Linked DNA regions of Elephas maximus indicus. The protein of the gene in region 3 binds, or shares a complex with, the protein of the main gene of each other region. Links are inferred from orthologs where the notes say so. Each region holds a gene or a part of one and is shown on either strand. Other genes may lie near its edges.

Region 1 (7,513 bases), on a different chromosome or scaffold from region 3:
CCACCCCTTCATCCTGGGGAACTCCTATTCAACCACCACCGCCCAGCCATCTTATCACCTTCTCAGACCCCTAGGTTTCAGAAGCCAGTTTTCTGCCCCTGGGATCAAAGCCCCTTCTCCTCCCCTCCACTTTTGACACCTCCTATCCACGTCAAAGATCTGGGGAAGTGACCCAGCACTACTGAAGAGTCCGTTTCATTGGCTCCCTCCGTGCTCTGTCGCCCCCTGGTGCCCAGCCTCGGACGTGCATGGAAAAATGTGCCTAGAAATTTGTACTGGAAAAGTGCGCGCGATTCTCTGCTTACCCTGCAGGGTCACTCTCAGCCTTTCTCCCCCTACTCTGGGCCCTGGAAAGCTGACCTGTTAGACTCCACCCATCGGCTTTTCTTGCCTTCAGCCATCTGATTAAACCCATTGCCGTCGAGTCAATTCCAGTTCATAGCGACCCTACAGGACAGAGTAGAACTGCCCCCTAGGATTTCCAAGGAGCGGCTGGTAGATTCAAACTGCGGACCTTATGGTTAACAGCCGTAGCACTTACCCACCGTGCCACCAACTGACTGGGTCTGCTAATTAGAGGCAGGGCAGGAAATCTGAGGGTAGGGGAAGAGACGTGGGGTATGTATTTCCCAGTCCTCTTCTGCATTCCTGCACTTCTGGCTTTGGCTTTCTTTCCTCTACCTAGAGCTGCAGCTCCTTCTGGCTCCTCTCCAGAGACTGGTAGCAACACTCCCTTGCCTGTCCTTTCTGCCCTAGGGATGGTAATGGCTTGGTTCTGGCTGTAAATGGGTCCGCTGGCGCCACATCCATACTTTGTGTTTCCTTTTGCCCTGCCCATCCTCCTACAAACGGTGGCTTCATAAGCGCCCCAGGTTCCAACTTTTTCCTGCTGGGACCCTGACTGGTACCAGAATAAACATGGGGTGAGCCCAGGAAAGAAGGGGACCCGAGTCCACCAGTGAGTGCTCAAAATTTCTCTTTGGGAGGAGCTTGGGGTGGCCAGTGGGCCCGTAGCATCATCATTAGGGTGGTATCACCTGGGTGGTGTCACCCCCACCCATGCTAATTACCACATTATTGTAGGTAGAACACCAGAAGGTTTGACAAAATCAGTGACGCTAAAAACACTGGCAGCAACAGAAACAGACACCACACGATCAGAAGCCTCGCTGTAACTGGGTAACAGTGACAGCCCTGACCAGAGCACATTGGAAGGTTCAAAAAGTAAATTAGCATAGAGTTTTAGCCTTGTGGGTGTATTGATACATGTAAGCTGGGCTTACAAAAAATGTTTTTATTGTTATAACTAACTACAGGGATATTTTTATAAAAAATAATAAATTTCTCCTGAGACACTGCACAGAAATTTATGGACAGTCATTTTGGTGTCACCCTCTCTGCGAGCGTTACCCAGTTGCTTCCACACCCCTGGACTCCCCTAGTGATGCCACTCCAATAGGCTGACAACAGGAACGTGTAGGGGGCTTGTCTTGAAGCTGTTAGGACTTATACGGGGTTATTTGAGGGGGCGGGGGGTGGTTAAAGTCCTCATGGCTGGAGCCTTGGTGGCGCAAACAGTTTGTGATTGGCTGCTAACCTAAAGGTTGGTGGTTCAAACCTACCCAGTGGCTCTGTGGAAGAAAGGCTTTCGTAAAAAGTACAGCCAAGAAAACCCAATGGAGCACAGTTCTACTCTGTGACACATGGGTGGTCATGAGTTGGAATTGACTCAAAGGCAATGCATTTAAGGTCCTCATGATGAGACCTCCCGTTGGAGCTGTCCCTGACTGCCCACCTTGAAGAAGGGTTGAAGGAAAAGGCCTTTATTTCTGCCTGTGTTTCAGGCCACTTGGCTAACTCTCTTCTCTCTCTGTTTCCCTCAAGAGTCTTGAGAGAAAGGAGGTAATATGGTTCAGAGTGGAGGTCACTTCTCCAAGGTCACACAGCAAATGATTAAAATAATAGGTACTTAAAAAAAAAAGTTTGATTTCATTTATACGACGTTGTAGAATAGGAAAAACTAATCTCTGGTAAAAAGAGAAAGAAGAAGACCAAAATTTACTAATGGTTACCAGGGGCAGGCAGCAGGGAGGGGAATAGGTAGAGTCATTGCTTAGGAGCCGCTGAGCTTCTGTTGAGGTTGATGGAAACATTAAAAAGGGGTGATTGTCATGCTGAGTAACATGATAAACATAATTAATGTCACCGAATTGTACACGTGAAGAATGTTGAAATAGCGGATATTTTGTTACATATATATTTACTACAATTAAAAAAGAAAGAAGAGAGTTGCCCCTGTGAAGTGTAAATACTGCCTGGAAAGGGGCACAAAACAATTTTCTGGGGGTGATGGAATGTTCTATACCTTGATTTGGATGTCAGTTATACGGGTGTATATGTTTGTCACAACCCATTGTAGTGTTCACGTAAGATCTAGGCATTTTTACTTTTATTTAAAGAAAATTACTAGAAAAGAATCTGTGAACCTAGTAGCTATCATGTAAAAGAAATTTTTTCTTTTGAGGGGAGAAAATATACACAGCAAAACATTACACCAATTCAACAGTTTCTACATGTACAGTTGAGTGATTTTGATTACATTCTTCAAGTTGTGCAGTCATTCTTGATGTCCTTTTCCAACTTATTATTCCACCATTAGTATAAACTCACTGCCCTGCTAAGTTTCTCATCTAGCCTTTCTAGTTGCTGTTGTCAGTTTGATCACTTAGAGATAATTTAAAAGAACACAGTAAAGGCTGACATTCTTTACTAATCATGCTGTTGTTTTGATTAGAGAAGACTTCAGGGGATAGTTTCAGTTTAAGGTTTAAAGGTTATCTCAGAACAGTAGTTTGCAGGGAGGGAGTCATCTAGCCTCAGTGGCTCCAGAAAGTCTGGATTCTATGAAAACCTGAAATTGTGTTCCTCATTGCCCATGCCTTTTTGATCAGGATTCTTCTATAGGATCTTTAATCAAAGCCTTCCTAATAGCTGTCATTTTTTGAGGGCTATATGCTGGGTCTCTCCCAAGTACTTTCATCAATAATAAATTCTTGTGATCAATTTATGAAGGCCATAGTAATAAATCAGAAAAATAAGTGACTATTTTTGGAGCACTTACCTTTCATTTACTCACTCCTTGAAAACTATGTGTATTTCACACCTACTGTGTGCCAAGTGAAGCCATGGTGGTGCAATGGTTAAGAGCTTGGCTGCTAACCAAAAGGTCGGCAGCTCAAATCCACCAGCCACTCCTTGGAAACCCTGTGGGGCAGTTCTACTCTGGCCTATAGGCTTGCTATAAGTTGGAGTTGGCTCCACTGCAACTTTTTTTTGTGTGTGCGCCAAGCAGTCTTCTGGGAAACAGACACAGCAGTGAACCAGTCACGTGCAAAAGCAGAGCTCACATTCTAGTGAAAAAAAAAAGGAGGCGGATAATTAGAGAAAATAAGTGTGATGTAAGGAATGTTAGGTGGCAGCAAGCACTGTGGAGACAAGTAAAGCCAGGAGAAGAAATGGGAAGTGTTGAGGCAGGTGGCATGTTTCACAGACTTGATAGCATTTATGCTGTAAAATGACACCCCCGAGAGAAATGACTATGAGTGACCCCATTTGACAGAAGAGGAAACTGAGGTTCAGAGAGGTGAAGTCACTGTTAAGGGGCAGGGCTTCAGGGCCCATGGACTTGGAAGCCTCAGGGCCACTTGCAGTGGTGGCCATGATGGTGGGGGGTGTGGGCTTAATAAACTCCTTTGTTTTTTCCCTGGAGGGGGGCACGCAACGACCAGAATGACTTAGGCCTGGAGCCTTCGAAGGGAGGAAGTAGCTCAGCCCAAGGAGAGTCACTGGGGACGCTCCTCTCCGCCATAACAAGTTGCCACGCAGTCGGCTCCTATTGTGTCAGAGTAGAGCTGTGCTCCATAGGGTTTTCAATGGTTATTTTTTTTGGAGAAGCTCGCCAGGCCTTTCTTCTGAGCCACCTCCGGATGGACAGAAACCTCCAACCTTTTGGTTAGCGGAGCGCGTTAACCGTTTGTACCACCCAGGGACTCCTCCCTCATAAAACTAAAAAAAAAAAAACAACAAAACACCAAACCCGTTGCCCTGGAGTGGATACCAATTCATAGAGACCCTATAAGACAGAGTAGAACTGCCCCATAGGGTTTCCAAGAAGGGCTCGTGAAATCGAACCGCTGATCTTATGGCTAACAGCTTAACCACTGCGCCACCAGGACTCCGCTTCCCTCATAGCAAAGGCTTAATAAAGTTGGAGGTGTGGGGTTGGAGTGAGGATGAGCAAAACGGTTAATGAGGTGGGAGGGTTCCGGCTAGGGACTTTGAAGGGTTGAGGATTTTCCAGTACAAGAAGCGTTTAGTGAAAGGGGCAGAGGGCGAGCGGCAAAGAAGGGGTTAATGGGGGCGGGTCCAGGTGGGGCGGGGCCTGGGCTGGAGGCTAAAGCCCTAGGGCCTGGAGGAGTCGCCCTCATCCTGCCCCGCGGGGGCGCCCGCCGGGTCCCAGCGCCGCCGGTCCAGAGCTCTTCGCAGCAGGGAGAGGCGCTCCGCCCGCCCCGTCCAGCTGCCGCGCGCAGGTAGGCACTTGGCTGCCCGTCGGCCGTCCGGCCGCAGCCCCCGCCATCTGGCCGTCTGCGGCAGCCCCTCCTGCCGTCCCTCGGAAGCTGCCTCAGTCTCCCGCGCCGTCAGCGTCCCCGATCCTCGCTGGTCTGGCCTCCCAGTCTCTCTCTGTGCCTCGGGTCCCTGGCGGCTGACTGTGTCTCTGCCTCTGTCTCCGGATGTCTCTGCCCATGGTCTCTCTGACGCGGGGTATGTCTCTACTTCTGTATCTCTGCGCGTCTCTGCCTGGGTTATCTCTGCCTCGCCATCCGGATCTGTCTATTTCTTCTCTCTCTCTGTTAGCCTCTCTACCTCTGTCAGTTTCCAACTCTCAACCTCTGTGGATGTCGCTGCTCTGTCTCCGTGTCTCCCTGCCCTCACCCTTCCTCTCTCTCTTTATATTTCTCCATCTCTTTCTCTCTTCCTATTTTAAACTCTCTTCTTCCACCTCCATTCAGCCTTGTCTTCCTCCAAATCCTCTGCATCCCAGAAATTTCCTCCGAGCTGGGGGGCTGCTTATGGGCCAGGTAGGGGGCAAGGTGGTGGCCACTTGGGGCAGGTGAACTCTGAGCAGCACTGTAACACCAGCTCCCCCCTCACAGAGCCACCCCACTGCTCCCCAAGTCGCACTCACCCCACCCTCCAATTTCAGGAATTCCGGGCTAGGGGGTGGACTTCCTCTCCCCCTGTCACCAGCCACTTCCTCCCTTCCAGGATTTGTCTGGGTCACTGGTTAACTCCTTCCTGCCTTGCCCCTCTCCTCTTGAACTGGACACACCCCCAAACCAGGCTGAGGTACGGCTCTAGAATTTCTGTGAAGCAGTGGTTTTGGGGGGACGGGGCCTTGCCCATTGTGTATACATTGGTCCTCGTGTACATTGTTGACACTGATGGAGATGAGGGGGTCATGCCCCCCAACACCCCCTCCCAGGCCCACCACCAGCCCTGCTCCTCCTGAACCCATCAAAAGGGCTTCTCCCTTCCCAGCCTGTCCCTGGGTGAACTTGTCTTCAGGTTTGGCATGGGGATGGGAGGCTTTCTTTTCTGTGAAGGGAACCCCAGTAGGAGACAGGCTGATGTGGGGAAGCTCCTGAACTCTGGGACTCATAAAATCAAGACCTCTTGAATGTGATGTCTTTGAATGGAAGAACCGAGGGATGTGAGAATGAGCAGAGAAAAGAACTGGGAATACACCAAGCTTCAAATCAAAGTCTTAGGGATAATCAAATCCTGCAATCCAAAAAGCTTTGAGGGTTGGAATTTTGGCAGTTTTCAGTGTTTGTTAACAGCTTAGAAAAGACTTGTGGAGCTGTCTTGGCCACACCCTCCATTTTCCAGGTGGGGAAACTGAGGCTTGGAGAACAAAGGTCGCAGCTGTGAGTCTGTGCCAGGCTGGGGCTTGGGACTCCAATTCACAGAAGCCCAAAATCCAGTGATTTGGCTTCTTTTGCCTCCACAGAGTTGGATTAATTTGGCGAAGGAGGTCTTCACAGTGAGGAAGTATGCCAGAATGAGTAGAAATGGCTGGGATCCAGAAGGGAGAGTTTCAGAAGCAGAGAAGAGAAAATAGTTCTCAAAACATGGTGGGGCGGGGAGGGTAGAGGGGGCAAGAGTTGGTTTGGGTAGAAGGCGGGGAGTTCCAGGGAAGGAGGGAAGAGAGGAGGGGAGGTGGCGGGGGCCAGGGGTTAACTCTGGCCTCTGTCTCCTGACCTTCCCCACAAAGCCCACTGCTCCCTCGGGACAGGGCCTATAATTTGGTTTGTGTCTAGACAAATAATAACTCAGCTGGTGTGAGCTGGGAGGGGTGAGGCCAGCCTGCTCGGAAGGGGTAGGGAGACAGCCTGGGCTTCAAATGTGGCCCCTTCCCAAGCATTGAGAACTTGGGGCCAGGTAGAGGGGTCTGACCCTGGGCCCCCCTCTGTGAATCCTTGTTGTTCTTGTTGTGTGTCTACTCATAGGGACCCTATAGAACAGAGTAGAACTGTCCCATAGGGTTTCCAAGGCTGTAATCTTTAAAGGAGCACATCACCAGGTCTTTTCTCCCGTGGAGCAGCTGGTGGGTTTGAACCTCCAACCTTCCCGTTAGCAGCCTAGCTCTAAGCCATTGCACCACCTAGGCTTCTTCTGTGAATCCTTAGGATCTTAAAACTCTGCGCCATCTTAGAAGTTCAGGCTGCTGGAATGTGAAAAAACAGAAGAGGATAAGGGGGAAAAAAGAAGTGAGGTTCACCATGCGTAGAGTGTGTTCCCATTTGTGTCAAAAAGAAAAGAGAAATACGTACCGGTGTTTGCTGGGCAAAGTTAATAATCACTGAGGGTTTAATAATAGATTATGAAAGTCATAGAATGTTAAAAAAAAATTATAGAGCGTTCTAACAATAGAACTTTCAAATCCTGGAATGTGAGACTCCTAGAATATTGGAAACTTAAAAGGGTAAGCGCATAGGATAATAATAATAGAATGGAAGAAAGGTAGAGCGCTAGAACGTTATAATAATAGGATGTCAAACCACGAACTGAACCAACATTAGAACCTGAGGATTTTAGGACAGTAGAATCTAGAACATCGGAGGGGTCGTGGAGAAGGAGGACCCTAGCTAGCTTTCCTTCTGGGTGGTGCGGCCTTGTAGAAAGAACAGAGACTCCCTCTGTAGAAATGGGGAAACTGAGGCCCAGCAGGGCAGTTGGGGGCAGCCCTACTGCCCCCTGGTTTCTGCCAGCTGGCCGCCAGAGCACCAGGTGGGGAATGAGGCAGGCTTGGTGATCACATTTCGTCCCTAATGAGCAGACCCAGACCGGAGCTGGCCGGTCCCCTGGGGCTGCTGGGGAGGGGAGAAGCGGGAGCCTGCAGAGAGGGGGGAAGGGGGGCAGAATCGGCCTGGTGGCTTCAGGGACTTTTCTG
Region 2 (7,884 bases), on a different chromosome or scaffold from region 3:
AGAGGCTGGACTCAGTGGTGTGGGCATGTCGCCTAGGCTGGCAGCAGGTCATACACATGAGAAAAGCCATTTTTTTTAAGGCCCCAGTTTGGGCATCCTGGTGGCATAGTGTTTAAGAGGTACGGCTGCTAGCTAAGAGATCAGCAATTCGAATCCACCAGGTGCTCCTTGGAAACCGTTTAGGGCAGTTCTACTCTGTCCTGTAGGGTCGCCAAAAGAATCGACTTGACAGCAGCAACTTGAAGTCCCCATTTCATTGGGGTTTTTGGGGTCGGCTCAGGTACTCCTTGTGCGCACCCCTGTCAATACGACTGTCTATAGTCATTTTTGCTCTCACAGAGCCATATCAGCTGGGACTCAGACCCCACCCCTGACCCTGAAGGACAGATGGTTCTCTGTGAGAGCAAAAAGCCTGCGCCCTTTGGCGGGCAGGCTGTGCAGTCTCAGAGTGACAGGACTCACTGAGCTTGCGCCCTAGGCCTGTCCCAACAGGGCCCTGCCAGGCGGGTGGCTTAGAGAGGTGGTGGGGGCACAGAGTTTGGTGAGTCCCCAGAGCCCTGGAGGGGCTATGATGCTGGGGAAGGCGGAGCGTTATACCCCCCAGGGTCATGGAGCACCTGTCAGCCCTGGGTTGTGTGCCTCCCCACCTCTGAGCCCCTCCCTGTGCCAGGTTCCAGGGGGCGGTGAGAGCCAGGACGAGCCCTCCCCGCTGTGCCAGGAGCCACTGTCCAGCTGTGTGCCTCACCGCCACGCCCTGGAGGTGAGCCAGCTGTGCCGTCTGCCTGCGGGCACCTACAGGGTTGTGCCCTCTACCTACCTGCCTGACACAGAGGCGGCCTTCACTGTCACCATAGCGACCAGGATAGACAGGTGGGCCCTGGTGTGGGAGACGGGGCCACCTGCATCTCAGAAAGTCCCCAGCCCGCCCTTCTGGCAGAGCGGCTCCCTGGGCCCGGGCTGATGGGACTCTCTCACAGGCGGTCCCTCCAGAGTCAGGAGAGCCTGGGCCAGTTCCTTCAGGAGGTATGTATGGGCCTGGGTTCGGGAAACTGGCCACCCTGCCTGGCCGTGTGGGGCCTCACCATCTCCTCCCACAGGCCTCCTTCACGGCTGTGATGAAGACCTAATGAGGTGACCGTGTGTCTGCTCGAGTGACTGGGCTGCTACCCACCCTCTGCTAGGCCCAGAACGCCTGTGCACAGTGCCCCCGCCTCGGCACTGCGGGGCCTGTGCCTGACGGTGTGAAGGATGTGCCACCCTGGAGAGCGGTGACGGGCCCCAGGGCCTGGGGAAAGGGAACTTCCACAGCTGCCCAGAAGGCCCTGGGGCTCAGCAGGGCCTGGGGGAGAGGCAAGAGCCTCAGCGCAGAGCCCCCGAGCCCAGACAGGAGCTTCATTGTAACCCCCTGACCGTCTCGTTGACTGGAGAAAGGCCTTACGCCAGACAAGAGCATTTTGAAACAAACCTTGTCTTAATGTTTAAACCAAAACCTGTTGCCATTGAGTCGATTTCGACTCATAACGATCCTATAGGACAGAGTAGAACTGTCCCATAGGGAATCCAAGGTGGATTCAAACTGCCGACCTTTTGGTTAGCAACCGGGCTTTTAACCATTGCGCCACCAGGGGAAGCATTTTTAAGAGGTAATTTTGTAAATAAACAAGTAGACACTGGGCAGTTCACAGGTTGCTCTTGTCTCAGAACAGCTCCAGGGTTGTCAGCTGTCTGTAAGCCAGCTGTGGAGGGACAGCCGGTGGGGATGCTGTCTCAGTGGGAGGTGAGCACAGCTGGGGTAGGCGGATTGGGGAGGAGGGAGTGGAGGTACAGAGGGTCGGAAGCGGACGTGCACCTGCTCTTGAGGGGTGGGGGCCACAGCAGCTGGTGTCCAGGGCGCGTTCGGGGTAGAGGCCTCCTCCAGCTGACCTGGAGTGAGAGGCGAGGGCCAGGACGAGGGGGCGACTGCTCCAGGACAAAGGAGGACAGCCTTGGGTAGGGAGCTGGCAGCTGCGGAGGGGAGAGGCAGAGTCTGCCTAGACTTGGGCTCACGGGCCAGATTCCCTGGAATGTGGAATGGGGTGGGGGTGGGGGTGGGTCAGGAGCCTTCCTTCCTTCCCAGGAGTCCCTGCCTCATCTTCTGAGAGCAGGCATCTGAGGTTCCCCAGGGGCATGAGGGGACAGTGAGGCCAGAAGATCCAAGGGTGCCCTCTGGTCACTGGTGGGGGGTCATTGAGAGTCCCACTTCAATGTTGCCCCTTACTCCCCAGGCTCTTCAGGGGTGGGCTGGGTGGAGGGTCTGCACGGCCTTAGACCTGTACATCTGCTGACCCCTGGTTGCCATGTGGCTCCTGACATCGGTGTCCCCATTGGCCTGTGACCACTGCCCCCACCCGCCTGATTCCTGACCCAGCCTGCCCCCCCCAGCCCACGTGTGCCCCCCGCTGGGCAGGGCGCTGGGTGTCTCTATCAGGGTCCCCCCCCAGTTCATCATTAGTCCCACCAGCTGACCTGGAGGAGGCCCTTCCTGTGGACAGACTCCTGCCCACTCTCCCTGGCCCCTGGCTTCCACTGACTTGGGCAGGGTGGCCATGCCTGCCCATTGGAGCCAGGGCCTCAGGGCACTTGGAAGCAGGCCAGAGCCCTCAGCCAGTCCATGCCCCCGGGAGCAGGGGAGTCCTGCGTGGGGCCTGTGGCCATGTCTGCCAAGGGGCCAACACCTGGGAAGGCAGCAGCTTCAGGACACAGTGCGGGGCAGCCTGCTGCAGAGCTGGGCAAACACCCCAGCAGTGTGCAGTCATGGTTAGAGACAGAGGAGGGGGGTCCTGAGGGCCCTGTGCTGTCTACAGCGGGGAGTGGGCCACATCCATACACTTTCAGGCTCAGAAACATCCCAGGAGTCTGGGAGTGAAGTCTTCAGGGGCCCTGCCCAGCATCCCCCTCCCCATCCAGGTCCCAGCTCTCAGCCCAGCAGGCCAGCACTGGCCACGGTTCAGATGCTGGGGCTGAGGCTCTGGCGTGGTCTTTGCTTTCTCCACCCTGCAGCCCAAGTGCCCCCACCAAGATTCAGCCCCCCATCTCTGACTGCCCCGCCCCTCCACACAGGGTGACTGGGGGCCCCTTCAGATGGGCCGAGGAAGTAAAATGAAGAGAAGAGAGCTTCCTTGTAAGCAGTGCAGGCCTCCCCTACTGTTCTCGCTGACCACAGAGCACTGGATGCCCCTTTGGAGTTCCTCTTGTCTGTGCATCTCAAACCCCACCCTGGGGACCCCTGCATCCATTGGGTCCACAGAGCACCCACCCCCACCTGGGGAATGGGCCAGCTGTCTCCCCTGCCCCAGCCATGGCCCTCCTGGCCAGCCAGCCGGGCGGTCATAGATCCAGCTCTAAAACAGCCCTGATGCTCTTTGGCCCCAGCAGATTCTGAAGAGCTCCCCCACCATCCCTGCAGATGGATGCATATTAGGGTGGGGGAGCAGGTGGGATCACCCAGGGAGAAGTATGAGGGCCTTAGGCCTTGGCCAGGGCTGGGTACTCAGAGCAGATGTGGCCTGTCCCAGTCCCACATGGGACTGAGGCAGCTGCCCAGAGGGGTCACAGTGACAGATGGAGGAGGGAGGGCGGAGGCTGTGCTGACCACCCCACCTGCCCTTCCCTGGGTGGCTCCAGTGGGCACTTGCTATCCATGCTTCGGCCACGCGGGGTGTCCGTCTGCGCTATACCTATGGTCACCGTGTGGGTGCTCAGGCTGAAAGCCTGGTGAGGGCCGCAGCCTCGGCCTGACCCCTTTGTGGGTGCACTAGGGCGTACCTGGAGGGCTGCAGGGAGGGGAGGGGGTGGGCAGGCCTGGGGCACGAGCAGTCTGTGCCGTGGGGCCTCTGCACTGACCTGAGGAGCTCTCTCTCCAGGTCTGCTTGTGGGCAGGGAGGCCAGGGGAAGGCCATGGAAATGGGCTTCCTCCACTGCCCGCCCCAACCACCAGCTGCCAGGCCACCAGGGAGCCTCCAGAGGGTGCCCTCGAGCTGCGGGCCGGCTCGTCCTGGGCCTCCTCGGGCCCTCCATTCTCTGTACATCAGTCAGTCCATCAATCGATCAATCAGTCTGGCTTTCCCCCACCCCTGGTATTGCTGGCAGGGTGAAAGCAGGAAAGCCCAGCCCACATGTGGACCTGCACAGGCTGTGAGGGTGAGGACCACCACCCTGCCCTCAGGTGGCCTGAGACTCAGGCAGATCCAGCCTGGCAGGTCTAGGTGTATGCTGTAGACACCACTTCTGGCCTCTCCCAACAGACTTTGCCCCACACCGGCCTGTTTAGGTTTTCTGACCTGTCACTTCCTGCTCCAGGAATGACGGGTGTGTGCCTCCTGGTTGGGAACACTTTCCTGGTCCCCAGTTCTCTTCTCACTGCCCTCATCCCTTCCTCCTCCAGGCCTTGGGGTACAGACGCTGGGGTAAGTATCCCGACCCGTGTGCCCTGAAAGCAGGTGTCAGGGAGGGGGCCTGGCCAGGGAGGGGGCCTGGCTGGGCAGGACTTCCTGGGGCAGGAGGCTGGACAGAGTAGAGTGGGTAAGAGGCGGCCAGCCAGGTAGGGTCACGCTGCTCTGTCAGGGGCTAGCCCTGTGTCCCCTGTGGGTTCCTGGGGCATTGTGTGTGTTGGGGAGGTGTGACGATGGCACCTGTGGCAGCACATGTGTGTGCTTCTGTGTTCCAGTTGCCGTGGACTCCTTCATCCTCCAAGCCCCACTGAGAAGACCAACCAGGATCCACAGATCACTTCCCGCCACCCCAAGCCCCACCGTCCTACCATTCTGAAGACATTCAAAAGCGTATGTGGGGTGGCAGTCCCAGTGCCAGGTGCTGGGGATGCGGCTGAGACACCCAGCGCCCCTGTGCTTGTGGCACGCACCGTCTGTTAGGGAGGACCACCCAAACACAGGTACTTTGGAGAATTTTGACCTGAGGGGACAGCTCTGCATATGGTGGTAGTGGTGGGGGTGTTCCTTGACCAGGCTAGGATCAACCAGGTGCGGAGGAGGGGCTGGGAGGGTGTTCCTGGGCACCCCTCACCCTCAGGAGCGGGAAGAAGCTCTGTGTCTGCACTGTGGGGGAGGGGTCAGAGCACGTGGCCAGGGCTGAGGCTGGAGAGGCAGACAGGGACCTTGAGGGCCGTGCAAGGAGTTTGCATCTTACCTCTTGGGGAGCGGGAGCCACGGCATGATTTGAAGTTGGGCCTGACATGTATTTTTGAAATCTCTCTGGCTGAAGTATTGAAGATGAATTGGGGGTAGGGGACGAACAAGAAGGCCGTTGCAGACACCCAGGGGAGAGATGGTGTGTTCTGTCCCAGGCAGGAGGGAGTGGAGGCCAAGAGAGGAAGTCAGTGTTGACCTGTGCTTGGGAGGCAAACCCAGCAGAACTTGATGAGTGATGCTTGGTTGGATTGATCATATAGCAGATAGTAGGAGAACTGACTCTTCCAGTCCATGGACGTGGTATACCTTTCCACCGATTTACGTCTTCTTTAGCTTCTGTCAGCAATAATCCGTAGTTTTGAGTATACATGTTTGCAATTATTCCTAAATACTCTATTTTTTTATGCTGTTATAAATGGCATTGTATTTTTAGTTTCATTTTCTAATTGTTTGTTGCTAATATATACAATTTTTTTGCATATTAACCTTATGTCTTATCATCTTGCCAAATTCACTTATTAGTTTGTAGTTTTTTTTTTTTTTTTTTAATCCCATAGGATTTTCTACACATAGACAATTATGTCAACAATGGAGAGATTTACTTCTTCATTTCCTATCTGAATGCATGTTTTCTTCTTCTTGCCTTATTTTCAGTGGCTAGGAGCTCCAATACCATTTTGAAAGTGGACATCCTTTCCTTGTTGCTTAGCATTTGGGGAACATGTTGGGTCTTTCACCATTAAGTCTCCTTCTATTCCTAGCTTGCTGATAGTTTCTTGTCGTAAATGGGTATTGAGTTTTGTCAAATGATTTTTCTGCATCTGTTAATAGGATTATGTAAATATTCTCCTTTTTTCTATTCAATGAATTACATTGATTGAATGTTAAAATAAACCTTACGTTCCTGGGGCAAGTCCTACTTGTATGCAGTCTGTTGTTTGTTTTATATATTGCTGAATTTGATTTGCTAATATTTTACTAAGGATTTTGTGTCTATGTTCATGCCAGATATTGGTCGGTAGTTTTCTTTTCTTGTAACATCTTTTTCCGGTTTTGGAATGAGGGGTTGAGCTTGCCTCTTAAAATAAGTTGAGAAGTGTTCCTCTTTCTTTGTTTTCTGGAAGTGTTTAAGATTGATAGTATTTTTTCCTTTAATGTTTGATAGAATTCACCTGTACCATCATCTGGAAAAAGGGTTTTCGTGGTGAAAAGGTTTTAAATTATTAATTCAACAACTTTAATAAACACAAGGGTATTCAAATTTGCTATTTCTTTTTGTTGTGACTTTCAAGAAATTTGTCCATTTCATCTACATTGACAGATGGATTTGCATATGGTTATTGATAATGTTTCCTTGTTCTTCTAATGTCTGTAGGGTCTGAAGTGATGTCTCCTCTTTTATTCCTTGTATTAGTAATTTGTGTGTGTTTTCCCCTTGATCAGTCTAGCTAGGAGTTGATCGATTTTATTGATGTTTTCAGAGAACCAACTTTCATTTTGTAGATTTTCTATTGTTTGTTTTTTCTATTATATTATGTTTCCACTCTTTCTTATTTTCTTTCTTCTACTTACTTGGGTTTAATTTTTTCCCTAGATTCCTAAGATGGAATCTCAGATCAATGATTTTAGACCTTCTTCTTTTCTAATGTAAGTACTTAAAGCTACGCACCTTCCACTAAGCACTGCATTAGCTTTATCTCACAAATATTGATAAGTTTTGTTCTCATTATTGTTCTTTTCTAAATATTTTATAATTTTCCTTTGATTACTTATTTGTCCACTGAGTTATTTTTATGTGTGTTCTTGTTCTTTAATTCACAAATATTTGGAACATGGGCATTCTTTAGATATCGTGTCTCTTTCGATACTGATTTCTAGTTTAGTTCTGCTGTGTTTCGACAACAAGCTCTGTGTGATTTAAATCCGTTTAATTTGTTAGCACTGATTTCACGGCCCATTTTGGGGAACGTTCGTATGTACAGTTGCAAAGAATGCGCATTCCGATGTTGTTGAGCGGGACGTTCTGTAAATACCAGTTTGGACAAGTTGGCTGATGCTGTTCAAGTCTGCCGTGTAGCATTGATAATGTTTGGTTTATTTGTTCTGTTACTGAGAGAGGCATGTTGAAATATGCCATTATGATTGTGCTTTTGTCTATTTATCCTTCCAGTTCTATCAGTTTTGCTTCATTTATTTTGAATCTCTGTAACTAGTTGCAAACACGTTTAGAGCTGCTATCTATTTTTGATGTCGTGATTCTTTAATCATTATGAAATGTTTCTATTTATCTCTTAAAATATTTCTTATCCTGAAGTTTACTTTAATAATAATATACATATTCAGCTTTCTTCTGATTAGTGGTTTCAATTTCTGTTTTCGTTCTTTTACTTTTGTCTTATCTTTATAGCTAAAGTGTGTACATTTAGACAGCATATTGTTGCTTCTTGCATTTATAATGCAACTTGAAAATCTTTGCCTTTTAATTGGGGTGCTTAAACCACTTACCTTTAATGTAATTATTGATATGGTTGGTGTCTTAGTCATCTAGTGCTGCTATAACAGAAATACCACAAGCGGATGGTTTTAACAAAGAGAAATTTATTTTCTCACACTCTAGTAGGCTAGAAGTCCAAATTCAGGGCGTCAGCTCCAGGGGAAGGCTTTCTTTCTCTGTCAGCTCTGGACGAAGGACCTTATT
Region 3 (7,656 bases):
AAATCTATCTGAAAATTAAAATGTTACTAGTATCACTGCAATGTAAACTGACAGTGATGGCTAGAGTAGATTCGTTTCTCTGGCAAATAATTTAAATTGTTACTCTTGTTTTAAAAATAAACATAATGGCACTTTCATTCATTGAGTAATGCACACAGTGGGCATTTCAATGTTAAATGATGTTAGTGATTTTTTTTTTAATGGAAAATGTACTCCCTAACTCATTTTTCTCTACGTGGCAAAAGTCACATAACATAAAATTCACCATTTTAACCATTTTTAAAGTGTACAATTCAGTGGTATTTAGTATATTTATAATGTCGTGCAACCATCATCTCTATCTAGATCCAGAACACTTTCACACCTCAAAAGGAAAACCTGTACCTATTAAGTAAGGACCCCTGGTGGTGCAGTGGTTAAACATTCAGCTGCTAACTGAGAGGCCGTCAATTCGAACCCACCAGCTGATCTGTGGGAGAACGATGTGGCAGTCTGCTTCCATAAACACTACAGCCTTGGAAAGTGTACGGGGTAGTTCTACTCTGTTCTATAGGGTCACTAAGTCAGAATCAACTCAAGGACGGCTATAAACCTGCTGCTGTTGAGTCGATTCTGACTCATAGTGACCCTACAGGACGGAGTAGAATTGCCCCATAGGGTTTCCAAGGAGCGCCTGGTGGATTCAAACTGCTGACCTTCTGGTTAGCAGCTGTAGCTCTTTTTTTTTTTTTTTTTTTTTTTTTTGTGCTTTAAGTGAAAGTTTACAAATCAAGTCAGTCTCTCACACAAAAACTTATATACACCTTGCTACATACTCCCAATTGCTCTCCTCCTAATGAGACAGCCCGCTCCCTCCCTCTACTCTCTCTTTTTGTGTCCTTTCGTCAGCTTCTAACCTCCTCTACCCTCTCATCTCCCCTTCAGGCAGGAGATGCCAACATAGTCTCAAGTGTCCACCTGATCCAAGAAGCTCACTCCTCACCAGCATCCCTCTCCAACCCATTGCACAGTCCAATCCATGTCTGAAGAGTTGGCTTTGGGAATGATTCCTGCCCTGGGCCAACAGAAGGTCTGGGGGCCATGACCACTGGGGTCCTTCTAGTCTCAGTCAGACCATTAAGTCTGGTCTTTTTATGAGAATTTGGGGTCTGCATCCCACTGCTCTCATGCTCCCTCAGGGGTTCTCTGTTGTGTTCCCTGTCAGGGCAGTCATCAGTTGTAGCCAGGCACCATCTAGCTCTTCTGGTCTCAGGCTGATGTAGCGTCTGGTTTACGTGACCTTTTCTGTCTCTTGGGCTCATAATTACCTTGTGTTCTTGGTGTTCTTCGTTCTCCTTTGATCCAGGTGGGTTGAGACCGATTGATGCATCTTAGATGGCCGCTTGTTAGCGTTTAAGACCCCAGACGCCTCTCTCCAAGGTGGGATGCAGAATGTTTTCTTAATAGATTTTATTATGCCAATTGACTTAGATGTCCCCTGAAACCATGGTCCCCAAACCCCCACCCCTGCTACGCTGGCCTTCAAAGCATTCAGTTTATTCCGGAAACTTCTTTGCTTTTGGTTTAGTCCAGTTGTGCTGACCTCCCTTGTATTGTGTGTTGCCTTTCCCGTCACCTAAAGTAGTTCTTATCTACTATCTAATTAGTGAATACCCCCTCCCGCCCTCCCTCCCTCCCCCTTCTCGTAACCATCGAAGAATATTTTCTTCTCTGTTTAAACTATTTCTTGAGTTCTTATAATAGTGGTCTTATACAGTATTTGTCCTTTTGCAACTAATTTCACTCAGCATAATGCCTTCCAGGTTCCTTCGTGTTATGAAATGTTTCACAAATTCATCACTGTTCTTTATCGATGCGTAGTATTCCATTGTGTGAATATACCATAATTTATTTATCCAGTCATCCATTGATGGGCACCTTGGTTGCTTCCATTTTTTGCTATTGTAAATAGTGCTGCAATGAACATGGGTGTGCATATATCCGTTTGTGTAAAAGCTCTTATTTCTCTAGGATATATTCCAAGGAGTGAGATTGTTGGATCATATAGTAGTTCTATTTCTAGATTTTTAAGGAAGCACCAAATCGATTTCCAAAGTGGTTGTACCATTTTACATTCACACCAGCAGGCAGCCATAGCTCTTAACCACCACACCACCAGGGTTTCCAAGGAAGGCAATGGGTGTACCTCTTAAGCAGTCACTTCCCATCTCCCCTCCTCCCCTCTCCACCCCCTGGCAACCACTAGCCCCCCTTCATTCTCTGTGGATTTTCCTATTCTGGATGTTTCATGTAAGTGGGATCATTCAATATGTGGCCCGTTGTGCCTGGTTTCTTTCACTTAGCATAAGTCTTCAAGGTTCATCTATATTGTAGCATGTGTCAGTACTTCATCCCTTTTTATAGCCAAATAATATTCCATCATACGTCCCTGGGTGACGAAACAGTTAAACAATTAACTACTTGCGAGACCAAAGGTTGGCGGCTGGAACCCACCCAGAGGTGCCTTGGAAGACAGACTTGACAATCTGCTTTTTGAAAGGTCACAACCTTGAAAACTCAATAGAGTGGTGTTCTCCTCTGCATACATGGGGTCACTAGGAGTCAGAGTTGAATTGATGGCAACTAACAACAACAACAACATGTATATTACCACATTTTGTTTATTAGTTCATGAGAATTTGATCGTTTCCAGCTTTTGGTAATAGTGCTGCTACATACATTCATGTACAAGTTTTTGTTTGAATGCCTGCTTTCAATCCTTTGGGGTATACCTATAGGTAGAATTGCTAGATCATATGGTAATCTTGTGTTTAACTTTTTAAGGTACCAATAAACCCCTAGTTCATTTTTATTTTCACAATTACAAGGAGTCTTGATCACTGGACAGTTAGAGGCTGTTGGACAGCTGCAGCTGAGCCTCAGGCTGGGCTCAAAAAGGTCTTTTTTCCAGAACCACTGCTTAGTGCAACCCGGCTCCATTAGAGCCAGGCTTGTTCCAAGGCAAGGCTACAGGTAGGGCTTTGAACAGCTTTCTCTGCTGCTCTGCATGTTGGAACATGAACTGGCTGGGCAGGAATACCCTCCTGCCTTCTAGGCATCCTTGGTTCTCCATTATATAGCACATACTTTTGGAAGGAAAAAAAAAAGATGCCAGCTACCTAACATAGACTTCCCTCCTCCTGTCTTTGCAGCAGAGCTCAGATTAGCACCTGGAGTCCCCATACGATCCATGCTTGGGACAGATGCTATACCCTGCACTGGGCAGAAATTAATCTTTCATGGACTTGCTGAGACTAGAAAGTGATCCTTCACTCAGGGTACAGTTTTACCATTCATGTCGCCTGACAGCACTACCCAGTATTCCGACCCTATCAACCCACAGATACAGGAGTGAGCCCATCCTACTTTGTATATTGTAGATTGTCCACCCCTGGGCTTGGCTGGGCAAAGGAGACAACCCTACTACAGGCATTGTTCACTGCAAACTTTCTGAGTCATGAGGCTGTTCAGTCATTAATCCAACCCGTAACAGTCACTGATTAGCAGTGATTTTTAAATTTGACTGCTTAGGAGCTTCTCCAAGTCCTGACCCCTTGCCCCAATTCCCTGACACACAGGAAGTTTCCACACTACAGGAGCCCACACCAAGGAGCATTAGGTTGCACTGCCCCCAAACAGGCAGATTAAACCGGCTTTTTCCACTTGAAACTGAACACTAAGAATGAAAACGTCGGTTGGGTCCTTGCTACCCGAGTCTCCCTGCCAACCCCGTTGTCACTTGTCAGGCTTGTCTTCCGGGCAGCCCTTTCAGGTGTCCTGCTCTGAATCTGCTGGTAGGGCAGAAAAGTCCCTTGGCTGGTCATATCCTCTGTAATCCCGCGGGAAACCTAAAATGTGCCTGCTCTCGTCCTCGGTGAGTTTGCTTTTCGCTTCCTTGTAGGGAAGAGCCTGCATCACAGTGTCCGGTTTGGGGGATTTTCACCATGACCTCACCCTCTGCCGCTACCATCCCGATTGTAGCGCTGCACAGCATTACGCAGCTCGGGCAGGGATCCACGTTAGGGAGCTGTTAACAGACCCTCCTAGCACATCTCAGATTAATATCAACTCCAGTTCTTTCTCCCCAAAGGGGGATACTTGCAGGGGTCTGAGAATGCCACCAAGAGCTGGAAGGAAGGACGGACGATCTTGACTTAGCATCAAGGGTGCCACCGTAAGAAAATGCACCAAAAACCTTTCAGACTGGCGCCCGTTGTTTGAATCACTTTTGACCCAATGGCTTCGAAATAAGGCGAGGGAACGCTGACAGCAGGCGGCGGCCATGAAACTCGGGAGAAAGGGCGGCCTTTCTCGGGAGAGAGGGAGCCCAAAGGGCAGCGTCTGGGACTCGGCAGCCGGCTCCACGGAGCAGGCCTTAATTAAAAAGAAACAGAAAGTCGCGCTCCGCAGGCGTCCGCCGCGCCCACTGCGTCCCGCCAGGCCCGAGACCACGTGACCGCGGCTCCCGGCCTCCTGGCGCGGGCCCGGCGGCGGCCGCGGACACACCAGCCAGCGAGCGACCGCGTGATTCGCCGGCCCGGGCCCGCCACGAGACTGGGGCTGCGGAGGCCGTGCGCGCGCGCCCCCGGGAGGCGGCAGGCGCGCGCACGCTGCCGGGGCCACCGCCCCTCCCGGGCCCGCCTCCTTCCCTCCCTCCCCGGCTCTCCCGGCCCGCCCTGGCCGGCTCGCCCTGCGAGTCAGTTCGCTCGTTCCCTCCCTCCCCGGGCGCGCTCGGGCCGCCGCAGCGCTCCCCGCCCTTGAGCCGCGGAGCCCGAGCCGCCCGCCGCCCGCGGAGGAGGTGGAGGGAGCCGGAGGGGCCCGCCGAGGCGGCGGCGGCGGCAAGATGGCGGACTTCCTGCCGTCGCGGTCCGTGCTGTCCGTGTGCTTCCCCGGCTGCGTGCTGACGAGCGGCGAGGCCGAGCAGCAGCGCAAGTCCAAGGAGATCGACAAATGCCTGTCCCGGGAGAAGACCTACGTGAAGCGGCTGGTGAAGATCCTGCTGCTGGGCGCGGGCGAGAGCGGCAAGTCCACCTTCCTGAAGCAGATGCGGATCATCCACGGGCAGGACTTCGACCAGCGCGCGCGCGAGGAGTTCCGCCCCACCATCTACAGCAACGTGATCAAAGGTGCTGGGCTCGGCCGGGGGCGAAGGAAGGGCCGGCTCGGCAGGGGCCGGGGGCCCGAGGCCGGGCACCGCCCTCGCGCACTCCGTGCCTCGCGCACGAGCTGGGCGGGCGGCAAGGGGGCGCGCCCCGGGCCCTGGCCCTGCCAGTCCCCGGGCGCCCTCTCCGTCGGCTCAGGGAATGCTCGGTGGGCGCCCAGCTTTCTCCTTGCTGCCCCCTTGGGGGTCACGGCCAGCCCCCACCCCCACCCCATTTCCAGCTCTGGCTCCTCCGAGAGGGAAGTTAGGAGAGCCGGGTGCCTCGGGGTGCGGGTCACCTGGCCTGTGTTCCTCCTTCCAGACGAGGCTGGAAAACCCGAGAGCCGACCCCAGACCCTGCCCCTTTCTCCCCTGCCCCAGAGCTGTCGGCCGAACCTCGCTGCCCCGGGTGGGTGACCCGAGTTGCATGGTTTCCTTGACCGCCTCCTGAGCAAGGGAGTTCTGGAACCGTCGGCAATGAGGAAACTTTTGCCAGAGACTTGTCAAGGGCGAAGGGTGACAGCTTTTGGGACTCTTTTGGGAAAGGATGTGAAACTTGAGGGTGTCGTTTTCACTTTGCTGGCACCAGGAAAGAGGAGACCCATACAGTAACTCTGAAAAATTAGCATCAGTGGTTTTTCACCTCATTGTCACGGTCAGGCAGGATGTTTGCCTGTAGTCTGTGTGCAATATGTTCTGCTCTCCTTTTTGCTAAATAAGGGGTAGGGGATATGGGGGTGTACTGCTTCAGTGCAATTGTGTAATAATATGAAGAATTTTTGGTCTAAAGGTGATGTGAGTCCCGCACAGGTTGAGTCAGTGAGTTAGCATGGGATGGGGTTGGATCATAGACTCCGCTTCTGTTTGACAGTATTTTTTTTTTAATTAATTAAAATGGTAAACGTTGTTCTTAAGTGAGAAGTACACAGGATTTTTATTTCTGAACTTTCAAAGAATTAGAGACGATGGTTTTTATTTTGTGATTGGAATGATAATTAGCATTCCTTTCTGTTAGTTTCCAATATTTTTAGCTTAAAATACTTCAGATGCATCAGGATTCTCTATTTTGTCTGGGTAGCAATTATCTGGTAGTTTGCTACCGATTTCATATCTTGTCAAGCAGTGTTTTTTTCCGTGGGATTTTTGTTCAGGAAGTGCTTAAGAAAGTCTTTCATGTCACTTTTTTTTTTTTTTCCTTTCTCTCCCAGGGTTTGGTAGAGGAAAACTGCTCCAGAGAGGGAGGCAGTGTGGGTTAGGAGCCAGAGAAAAAGCTCAGCCTGGGGTTTACAGACCACAGTGAGCCCTTAGCCCTGGTACCCCTCCAGTTAAGCTGTGAAAAGCAGTTGTATTTACTCTGCCTTAATGGTCAGCAGGAAACCTAATTAAGGTCTCTTTCAAGGCCACTGCCTCTGCCTTGCCAGCCCTTAATTGAAGGTACCTTTGTATCTTGCTGCAGCCGAATTTAAGGAATTATGTTAATGAATAGATTCAACATTTTAACTGATTATGGGCCAGGTAAACAACTGGTTCTTAATGTACACTGCGTCGGAAATGAGACCCGTTTTGAGTATTGATAATGAGATGAGGTCATTAGACATTAGTTTTTTTGTAGGTGTTGGCTTGTTGCAAAAATTGACAGCGGAATAGTTTTTTCAGTTATCCAAATGACCTAAAGGTGTGCGATTGTTAAGACCCTAACAGTTTAGTAATAGAAATACTGGATTTGAACTAACCTCTGAGTTGAAATGCCTGGTTTTGTATCTTTTTGCTGTTGGTCTTCCTACCTTTTAGGGAAATCTAAGGCCATCCTGTAACTTAGATTGATTCGAAGCTTGGTCTAGGAGAAGTTTTTGAGTTTTTAAGGTGTTCCTAGAAGACTCAGGGTTGGGGTTAGGCAGGGTGCCTAGGGGACAAGCAATGCAGAATGGTAACGCCTAGTTCTTGGCATTTGGTAGATGAATGCCTTTTGGACGGACTCCTTTCCTTCAGAGCCTGGACATCAGGCTGTGCAGCATAGTTTCTTTTTCCTTCAGTGGTTTTGGCTGTCTTGTGACCACTTTTTACCCCGGAAGTTATTTTATAAATTAGTACATTTTAAAATCCTTCAGAAGGAGCAAGTGTGTTATCAGTATTTGCTCTCCAAGGTTCTCATTTTAGGAGTGTGAGCAAGAGTTTTTAAAATCTGAGAAGTTAAGGGTGGATGTTTAATGTTGGTCTTCATTTTTGGAGGAGGTGGGCCTGGAGTAGTTAAGAGGTCTAAGAAAGAAATTCTGGTGTTTTCTAAGGAGTAAAACATATAAGAATGTTTAATGACTCCTCCCCATACTTTTTTTTTTTTTTAAACAAAGGCATGAGGGTGCTGGTAGATGCTCGAGAGAAGCTTCACATTCCTTGGGGAGATAATACAAACCAATTCAATGGAGAGAAGATGATGGCATTTGACACACGGTCACCCATGGCGGCCCAGGGAATGGTGG
Region 4 (7,052 bases), on a different chromosome or scaffold from region 3:
GCTGTAAGTCGGAACTGACTCGAGGCGATGGGTTTGGTATCTGTCCCCCAGCTTGCCACTTTTTGAGTGAATACATGCTCCCCTACCCCTTGCATTTCAGGTCCTTTTGAGTTGTGTTTTCTGTTACTTGCAACAGTGTTTCAGAGAGAACTGTGCTCCATAGGGTTTTCATTGGCTGATTTTTCAGAAGCAGATTGCCAGGCCTTTCTTCCAAGACACTTCTGGTTCAAAGTGCCAACCTTTCAGTTAGGAGCTAAGCACTTGGCCGTTTGTGCCACCCAGGGACTCCGCGACAGAAAGCACCCTGCTTGATACAGTTTGGAGGAGTAGTTTTTAGGGAAGCGTATTGTGATAAATTTGTTTTCCGTTATGGTTTAAGTTACAGACCAATAACCAATGAGATAATTGTGGTGAAATTCAAATTTCTCTTCTAAGAATTTCTGTTGAATTCCATTGGTAGAACCTGCAGGAGATTCAGAATTAGAATACTTGTTGGTGTAGGCTTTCCCTGGAATGACCCCCTGGAAAGGCAACTCTATCTTGGATGTTTTTGTGGGGTCTCACAGTTACTCACCGAGACGGTGAGCGAGTATTGACGAACGGCTTGTTTTCTGCAGTGGTTCGGCATGATTTTCTAAAAGGTGCAGAATCACTGGTGTCTTTTTCCCCGCAGTGGATTTCCCATCCAAGGGGGCACAGGGATGTTTGCAGACAAGCTGTTTAATGCTCACGGGATGAAGCTGGTGGAGAAGACAGACGATGATTTAGCCCTTGCTGTCTCTGAAGAGCCCGTCTGTTAGTATCCAGGGCTGCGTGCTCCTCAGCCGCAGGTGGATGAAGAGGAGGGTGGCTGCCGGCAGCTGCCCATGAGCACTGAAGTGGATGAATCCAGAGGCAAAGTAGAAAAGTCGCTCTAGACTGAAAGGCCATCTCTGATGAGCAGTCACGGTGAGTCCACATCAGCGTGTCATACTGTGCCAGGTGGAGACTATTTTCAAGTACACGTAACCCAAACCAGCTTGTGCTGGCCTCGCCACGTGGAGGGACAGGTATGGCCTCTGCGAGATTCCACCAAGGACCCAGCTCCTTCTAACCTTTGGCTCTGCCATACTTCTTATTTTTGTTGTGTGCCGTGGTGTGTGTGCCGTGGAGTTGATTCCAACTCAGTGACCCCACGTAGAACTGTAGAGCTGCCCCATAGGGTTCCCAGTGCTGTCATCTTTATGGAGCACATTGCCGGGTCTTTCTCCCGCATAGCCACCGGGGGGCTTCAAGTTGCCAACCTTTGGGTTAACGGTAGAGCGCTTAACTGTTGTGCCACCAGGGCTTCTTCTGCCGTTCTTAGCCTATGGGATTTTTCTGGCAGGGTTATCAAGGCATAATTCATTTACAGGAAACTTCTCTCTTTGTCCAGTTCTGAGCTTCGACAAAGGCGCACAGCCGTGTGACCACCACGGGAAGAACAGACTTGACCCCCAGAACCTCCCTCGCCACCTTTGCGGTGAACAACTCCATCACCCCAGCCCCTGACCACACCCATCTGTCTTCTGTCTCTGTAGCTTTGTCTTTCCAAGGATGTCCATAGGTGGACTCACATGGTGCGTGGCCTCTTGAATTTGGCTTCTTTCACCGGGGATAATGAATATGGGATTTATGGCGCCGTCTGTATCAGTGGCTTGTCCCTTTCCCAGCCGAGCGGCATTCCATTCTGAGGTTATGTCACAGTTGGTTCGTCCACTCACCAGGTGAAGGACAACGGGTTGTTCCCAGTATTTGGGGACAGTGCATGAACCTGCCGTGAACGTCTGCGTGCAGGTTTCTGGGTGGACGTGGGCTTTTCATTTCTTTGGGTTAAGTCTTTAGAGTGGGGCTGGACACTGAGCCCCCACACTTTCGGGGAGGGGACTTCTGCATGAGGACGTGGCCGCTGTCACGTTGTGCAAGTTAGCGGGCTGCCTGAGAACCATTGCTGTTACGTTGTCGCCCTATGTGGAAGCAATATGCCAGCGTGCCCACAGGGCTTGCTCCTGCTTGCAGACGTGACGGCTCGTTGAAGGGTATGTGGCCGAGGGAGGTGCAGTTGGGGAGGGACTTGAATCAGGCGTTAAGAACTCACTGTCCTTGCAGCTGGTCCAACTCTCCTCAGCATTTGGGCTTCTCTGCAGAACTTCCATTATGTCCCAGCCTGTCCCCCGGGACGTGTGAGCTGCAGGGCACGCGGTAACATACCAACTGTGCACACGCCATCGACTGCGTGAATGAGCCAGCTATGTCCTGGGTTCAGCGGTTTCATACTTTGAGTCATCCCGTAAAAATGGAGAGAATAGAGCCTAACCAGAACGAAGGCCCCACTTTTAGCATTTGATTAGCCTCCACTTCAGTACACAACTGGATAATTTTAAGAAAGCGTAACGATTTTCCATCCCCTAAGTTAAGGACGGAGCCCTGGTGGCACCGTCGTTAAGAGCTATGGCTGCTAACCAAAAGTCTGACAGTTCAAGTCCACCAGCTGCTCCTTGGACACTCGATGGGGCAGTTCTGCTCTGTCCCATTGGGTCGGTATGAGTCAGAACCAACTTGACGGCAACAGATTTTGGTAAGTTAAGGATGGGGCAGTGGTGATTCAGTGGTGCTAATTCCTGCCTTCCGTTCAAAAGACGCTGGAGCCCTGGTGGCGCAGTGATTAAGAGCTCGGCTGCTAACCAAAAGTTCGGTAGTTTGAATCCACCAGCTGCTCCTTGGAAACCCTATGGGGCAGTTCTATGCTGTCCTATAAGGTCCCTATGAGTTGGAATCGACTTGACAGCAATAGGTTTGGTTTGTTTTGGTTATGTGGGAGACCTGGGTTCAATTCCCACCCAATGGACCTCACGCACAGCCACCATCTGTCTGTCAGCGGCGGCTTGCGTGTTGCCGTGACGCTGAACAGGTTTCAGTGGAGCTTCCAGACTAAGACAGACCAGGAAGAAAGGCCTGGAGATCTACTTCTGAAAATCGTCCATTGAAGACCCCGTGGAGCACACTTCTACTCTCACACACGTGGGGTTTCCGTAAGTCGGAGCCAACTCGAGGGCCACTGGTTTCTGGGATCTCACAGACACTAGCAGGGCAGCTTCTGTCACCTGGCTTTGCACCCTTTTTTATCACTGCCATTGAGTTGCTCATTACTTGGTGAACATTTCAGGATTCGTTCAGGCTTGGAAATGGCAGGCGCAGCGCAGATATTCAGGCATGTGTCTAGCTCTTCCTGAGCTAAAACTGACTGAGAGATGTCTATGCCTGGCTGTCCCTTCTCCTGTGTCTTCCGTTTTCTCTCCGAGGGTGGGGTGGTGGCACGTAGAGGTGAAGTCGTCAGTTGGTCCCCCCCCCGAGGTGGGTCGTGCCCAGGTGACAGAAGAAAGGTCACTGTTGCAATTCCCGCAGCACCTGGGGCTCACAGGTCCCTGCTGTGAGGAGGCAGAGACCGGCTCCATCGAAGGGGGGTCACCACTAATCTGGAGTTGGGGGGCTTGCAGCATTAGTTCAGAATAATCCCCTCCCACTTCCACGTCACAGTTTCCCCTTCTGTGGACGCAGGGAGTCATCTTATCCTTGTTAGGAAGTCTGTTGGATCCAGCACTCTTTATTCCCATTTAAAGGCAGGTCAATGGCGCTGGTAATGCTACCTAACATTTACCCAGTGCTCTTTTCTGCTTCATAGTCATGATCACGGCTAACAGTTACTGAGTGATATTTTTTCTTTGTGAAAAGTACCTAACATTTATCGAGTTCTGGGTATTTTCTAGGTGCTGCTCCCAGAGCCTTGTATGTGTCCTCTGACTTCTCCTTACCACCCGGCAGGAGAGGAACCATGACTTGCATTTCACAGCTGAGGAGTTTGAGACACAGAGAGACTAAGGAACCTGCCTGAGGTGGTGGTTGGGTGCGGTAGAGTCACTTCCGATTCGTGGCAACCCCACATGACAGAGTAGAACTGCCCCACAGGGTTTTCTCAGCTGTAATCTTTATGGGAGCAGATCACTTTATGGGAGCAGGTCTTTTTCCCACGGAGCCACTGGAGGGCTCAAATCGTCGACCTGTCGATTAATAGCCGAGTGCTTAACCACTGCGCCACCATGGCTCCTTAGAGACAGGTGGTGGTGGTTGTTGTTGTTGGGTGCCACGGAGCCGATTCCTTCTCATAGCAACTCTATAGGACAGAATAGAACTGCCCCATGGGTTTCCAAGGAGCAGCTGGTGGATTTGAACTGCTGACCTTTTGATTAGCAGCTGAGCTCCTAACCGCTGTGCCATCCGGGCTCCAAAGAGAGGTTACTATCAGGTAAGTCACATGGCAAATGATAGCCGTGATTATAATCTTTTTTTTCTTGGCGTGTGTGTGTACACGTGTATTTGGAGTAGACTGGCAGTCGGGTAAACTGAGGCACAGGCTGGCTAAGTTCTCTTTGTTGTCACATGAGGAGTGCTGTCCTGGGTGCTGTGGAGAGTGTGGAGTTATGAGGTGTGGTGGGATGACGTGGGACAGATAGACCGACCACTCTGACTCACAGTGATCCTATGTACTATGTCACCTTCAGGATTGCCGGCATGTTCAAGTTCACGACTGCAGCGATTGTGTTGATTCATCTCCCCAAGGGTCTCCTTCACCATCACTGACCCTCCATGCCACCAAACATGATGCCCTCCTCCAGAGGTCGATCCCTCCTGATGACCTGTCCAAAGCAAGTGAGTTGGACAATGGTCTGTTGTGATCCCTGAGGTTTTCACTGGCAGATTTTCAGAAGTAGATTGCCAGGCCTTTCTTCCTAGTCTGTCTTAGTTTTGAAGCTCCACTCAAATATAGCATTCATTTAACGCTGAAAGGGTTAAAGAGAAAAATGTGGCCAGCTGATGTGTCCGCTGAGTGGGTGTGGTCACTTAACTTTCTCCGTCCAGATATCACCTATTCCTGCTCTTGGCAAACAGGAATCAGACCTTAACAGAGTTGATGGGGCATTTTACATGCTGCATTTATTAATATTTGTGCTGACTGGGAGGGTGTGGGCTACGCAGGCGTCTGTTAAAAACGCAACGTTCTCTGGTCTGCTTGTGAACCAGTTGTTCTCGCTTCGTGTTAGGGCCTGGGAAGACTGCCCCGCAACGGGGATAAGGAGAGAAGAGAAGAGAGCAAAATTTGAAGACAGCCTTACATCACCGGCCTCTCCCACCCAGAGAGCTGGGCGGCGGTGCAGGCGGGACCCAGACCCAGGCGTTGGTGGGAGTGGACCAGCCCCAGCAGGCGGGGCGCCAGGGCAGAAGGGCTTCCCAGCCTGCTCGTCCCCACACTGAGAAAGCCAGAGCCCGCTCCAGCCCTGCACGGGACAAACGCGGACTCTGGAAGTGAAGGAAGGCTCTGGACGTCCCTCTCTCCGTCTGAGCGCCTTCTCCCTCTGGCACAAGTTGCAGTCACTGTTTGGATGCGTTTCTAGGACAGCACTCGGAGCTAGGCTTCTCCACCGGCATCCCTGCTGCTCTGGTCTCTGTGATGTGTCACTGACCACCCCACAGTCTCAGCCTGGAGACCAGGAGGGGAACACCACCAGCTTGCCAAGACAGCTGTCCTCACAAACTTTAAAGAAACGGACTTTCTGTCTGTCTCTCTCTATTTCTCTGTCTTGGAACCTGTGGAAATGTCCCCTTGCCGAGGACGTGAGTGTTAGTGAAGACATGTCATCACAGCCAGACCTCAGGAATCTCACGTGGCCATCCTAACCTCTGGGTACCATGTGGCGGCCACGGCCACTCTACACCTGGTTGCTGCTGTTTTATTCCACTTCTCAGGTAAGTCCCTGACGTGGCCATTGTTGAAATGGGGCTGGATTTCTGCCAGGAGGTCCCCCAGCTGTGTCTGACGATGTGGTGTTCTGTGTGCAGGTACATGGAGTCGACGCCAGGTCCCGAGACCATCCAGGTAAGAGTTCCCCTCTTGCCCTGCTCATACACGCCCTTCCTGTCTTCGTGGAGGTCCGGGAACGGCCCCTCATTCACCCCAAGTATGCGGCACCTTCTTCGGGCTCCTCTGAGGAGGGCTGGGAATCCCTGGGAGCTGCAAATGGTTCACATACTCAGCTGCTAACTGAAAGGTTGGAGGTTCAAGTCCACCCAGAGGTGCCTTGGAAGACAGCCCTGGAGATCTGCTTCTAAAGGGTCACGGCCATTGCAAACCCCGTGGGGCACAGCCCTACTCTGACACAGATGGGGTCCCCAGGAGTCGGGGTTGACTTGACGGCAACTGGTTGCTCCGAGCTGTGGGGGACACAGTCCGTGGGGCCCCAGCAGCTTCCTGCCCTGGGTCATCGAAGCCTTGTGATTAGGAAGTGTAGTTTCCCCGGGGTGGAACGTGTTCTGTCTCTCAGCCTGCATCCTCCGCGTGTCCACCGAGCCGCCTGGGGGCTTGCGTCCTCCTTGATCGCTCTGGTGCTCTGCCTGCAGGTGTGGCTTCTCCCACTGGAGGCCTCTGTGAACTCCAGCTGCTTCCCGGGGGGAACGTGTGTGGTGGGGAACTGGGCGCGGACAGGCCTGCCGTTCAGCCGTGACTCAGCCTGCAGGGATCGGGGCCCCTGTCAAGGCTCGTGCCCCCAGCCCACCCAAAGGGGGCCCACCTCTAATGGCCAGCCAGGGTCGGGGGCTCTGACCAGCGTGCTGGACCAGTGCTGGCCACAGAGCAGGCCTGAGGAGGGGATGTCCATAGGATGGCAGATGAGGGCCCTGTGAGGAAAGAAGGGTGTAGTCGGACCCGAAGCTTTAGCTTCCAGCTTTAGGGGACTTTCTCTCACGATTGCTGCCTTGGTTTACCCACTGTATCCACATTTTCAAGGAGCAACTTAAATCTCTTGTTGAGAAAGGTATGAATGCTGTCAATTTCCACATGCTCCCTTTCCCTCACCCCAAGCGCTGGGAGGAAGGATGAAGGCGTGCTGCGGGGGGTGGCAACCCTGGGACTTGCATGAAAGTGAGGCCTTGCCCCATGGGGGTGTACCACTAATCCTACCCCTTGGGGCCCATGCTGGCTT

The links.
Region 1: the proteins of GNA13 (region 3) and GPR4 are in contact, whole or in part, in a cryo-EM structure (PDB 9JHP), measured with the Homo sapiens proteins. The link is inferred for Elephas maximus indicus from reciprocal best matches to the Homo sapiens genes GNA13 and GPR4. Residues at the interface, in NP_006563.2 of Homo sapiens: Arg47, Pro341, Tyr343, Phe359, Lys363, Asp364, Ile366, Leu367, His368, Asn370, Leu371, Lys372, Gln373, Leu374, Met375, Leu376, Gln377; in NP_005273.1 of Homo sapiens: Gln45, Asn50, Arg115, Ala118, Val119, Ala120, Pro122, Leu123, Ala126, Ile204, Val208, Ser211, Val212, Ser213, Thr214, Glu218, Lys221, Ile222, Leu225, Asn290, Glu291, Gly292, Ala293.
Region 2: the proteins of GNA13 (region 3) and G-protein coupled receptor 35-like are in contact, whole or in part, in a cryo-EM structure (PDB 8H8J), measured with the Homo sapiens proteins. The link is inferred for Elephas maximus indicus from reciprocal best matches to the Homo sapiens genes GNA13 and GPR35. Residues at the interface, in NP_006563.2 of Homo sapiens: Lys46, Arg47, Leu48, Val49, Lys214, Asn215, Val216, Phe218, Arg331, Gln337, Gln338, Lys340, Pro341, Leu342, Tyr343, Phe359, Arg360, Asp361, Lys363, Asp364, Ile366, Leu367, His368, Asn370, Leu371, Lys372, Gln373, Leu374, Met375, Leu376; in NP_005292.2 of Homo sapiens: Phe45, Gln51, Thr53, Thr55, Met59, Asp113, Arg114, Ala117, Val118, Pro121, Leu122, Arg123, Arg125, Arg128, Ala197, Leu198, Arg201, Pro202, Thr204, Asp205, Gly207, Gln208, Ala211, Ala215, Met218, Val219, Ala280, Lys281, Glu282.
Region 4: the proteins of GNA13 (region 3) and ADGRD1 are in contact, whole or in part, in a cryo-EM structure (PDB 9V0U), measured with the Homo sapiens proteins. The link is inferred for Elephas maximus indicus from reciprocal best matches to the Homo sapiens genes GNA13 and ADGRD1. Residues at the interface, in NP_006563.2 of Homo sapiens: Val49, Val216, Phe218, Phe359, Val362, Lys363, Asp364, Ile366, Leu367, His368, Asn370, Leu371, Gln373, Leu374, Met375; in NP_942122.2 of Homo sapiens: Asn599, Arg601, Leu657, Met660, Val661, Ile662, Val664, Phe665, Ser667, Val737, Ile738, Ile741, Ala761, Val764, Asn810.

Annotation. Positions count from the first base shown.
Region 1 is NC_064829.1:104,041,337-104,048,849, forward strand, and holds the start of GPR4 (G-protein coupled receptor 4), read left to right. Parts: upstream 1-4,501; 5' UTR 4,502-4,589; intron 4,590-7,513. UniProt on the Homo sapiens protein: Proton-sensing G-protein coupled receptor activated by extracellular pH, which is required to monitor pH changes and generate adaptive reactions. Activated by an optimal pH of 6.8-7.2.
Region 2 is NC_064824.1:142,573,860-142,581,743, forward strand, and holds the start of G-protein coupled receptor 35-like, read left to right. Parts: upstream 1-4,871; 5' UTR 4,872-4,930; intron 4,931-7,884. Other genes in the region: CAPN10 (calpain-10), read left to right, coding at 671-961. UniProt on the Homo sapiens protein: G-protein coupled receptor that binds to several ligands including the tryptophan metabolite kynurenic acid (KYNA), lysophosphatidic acid (LPA) or 5-hydroxyindoleacetic acid (5-HIAA) with high affinity, leading to rapid and transient activation of numerous intracellular signaling pathways.
Region 3 is NC_064837.1:58,617,127-58,624,782, forward strand, and holds the start of GNA13 (guanine nucleotide-binding protein subunit alpha-13), read left to right. Parts: upstream 1-4,655; 5' UTR 4,656-4,882; coding exon 4,883-5,165; intron 5,166-7,527; coding exon 7,528-7,656. UniProt on the Homo sapiens protein: Guanine nucleotide-binding proteins (G proteins) are involved as modulators or transducers in various transmembrane signaling systems.
Region 4 is NC_064840.1:1,404,035-1,411,086, reverse strand, and holds the start of ADGRD1 (adhesion G-protein coupled receptor D1), read left to right. Parts: upstream 1-4,039; 5' UTR 4,040-4,321; intron 4,322-4,577; 5' UTR 4,578-4,725; intron 4,726-5,117; 5' UTR 5,118-5,763; coding exon 5,764-5,820; intron 5,821-5,913; coding exon 5,914-5,950; intron 5,951-7,052. UniProt on the Homo sapiens protein: Adhesion G-protein coupled receptor (aGPCR) for androgen hormone 5alpha-dihydrotestosterone (5alpha-DHT), also named 17beta-hydroxy-5alpha-androstan-3-one, the most potent hormone among androgens. Also activated by methenolone drug.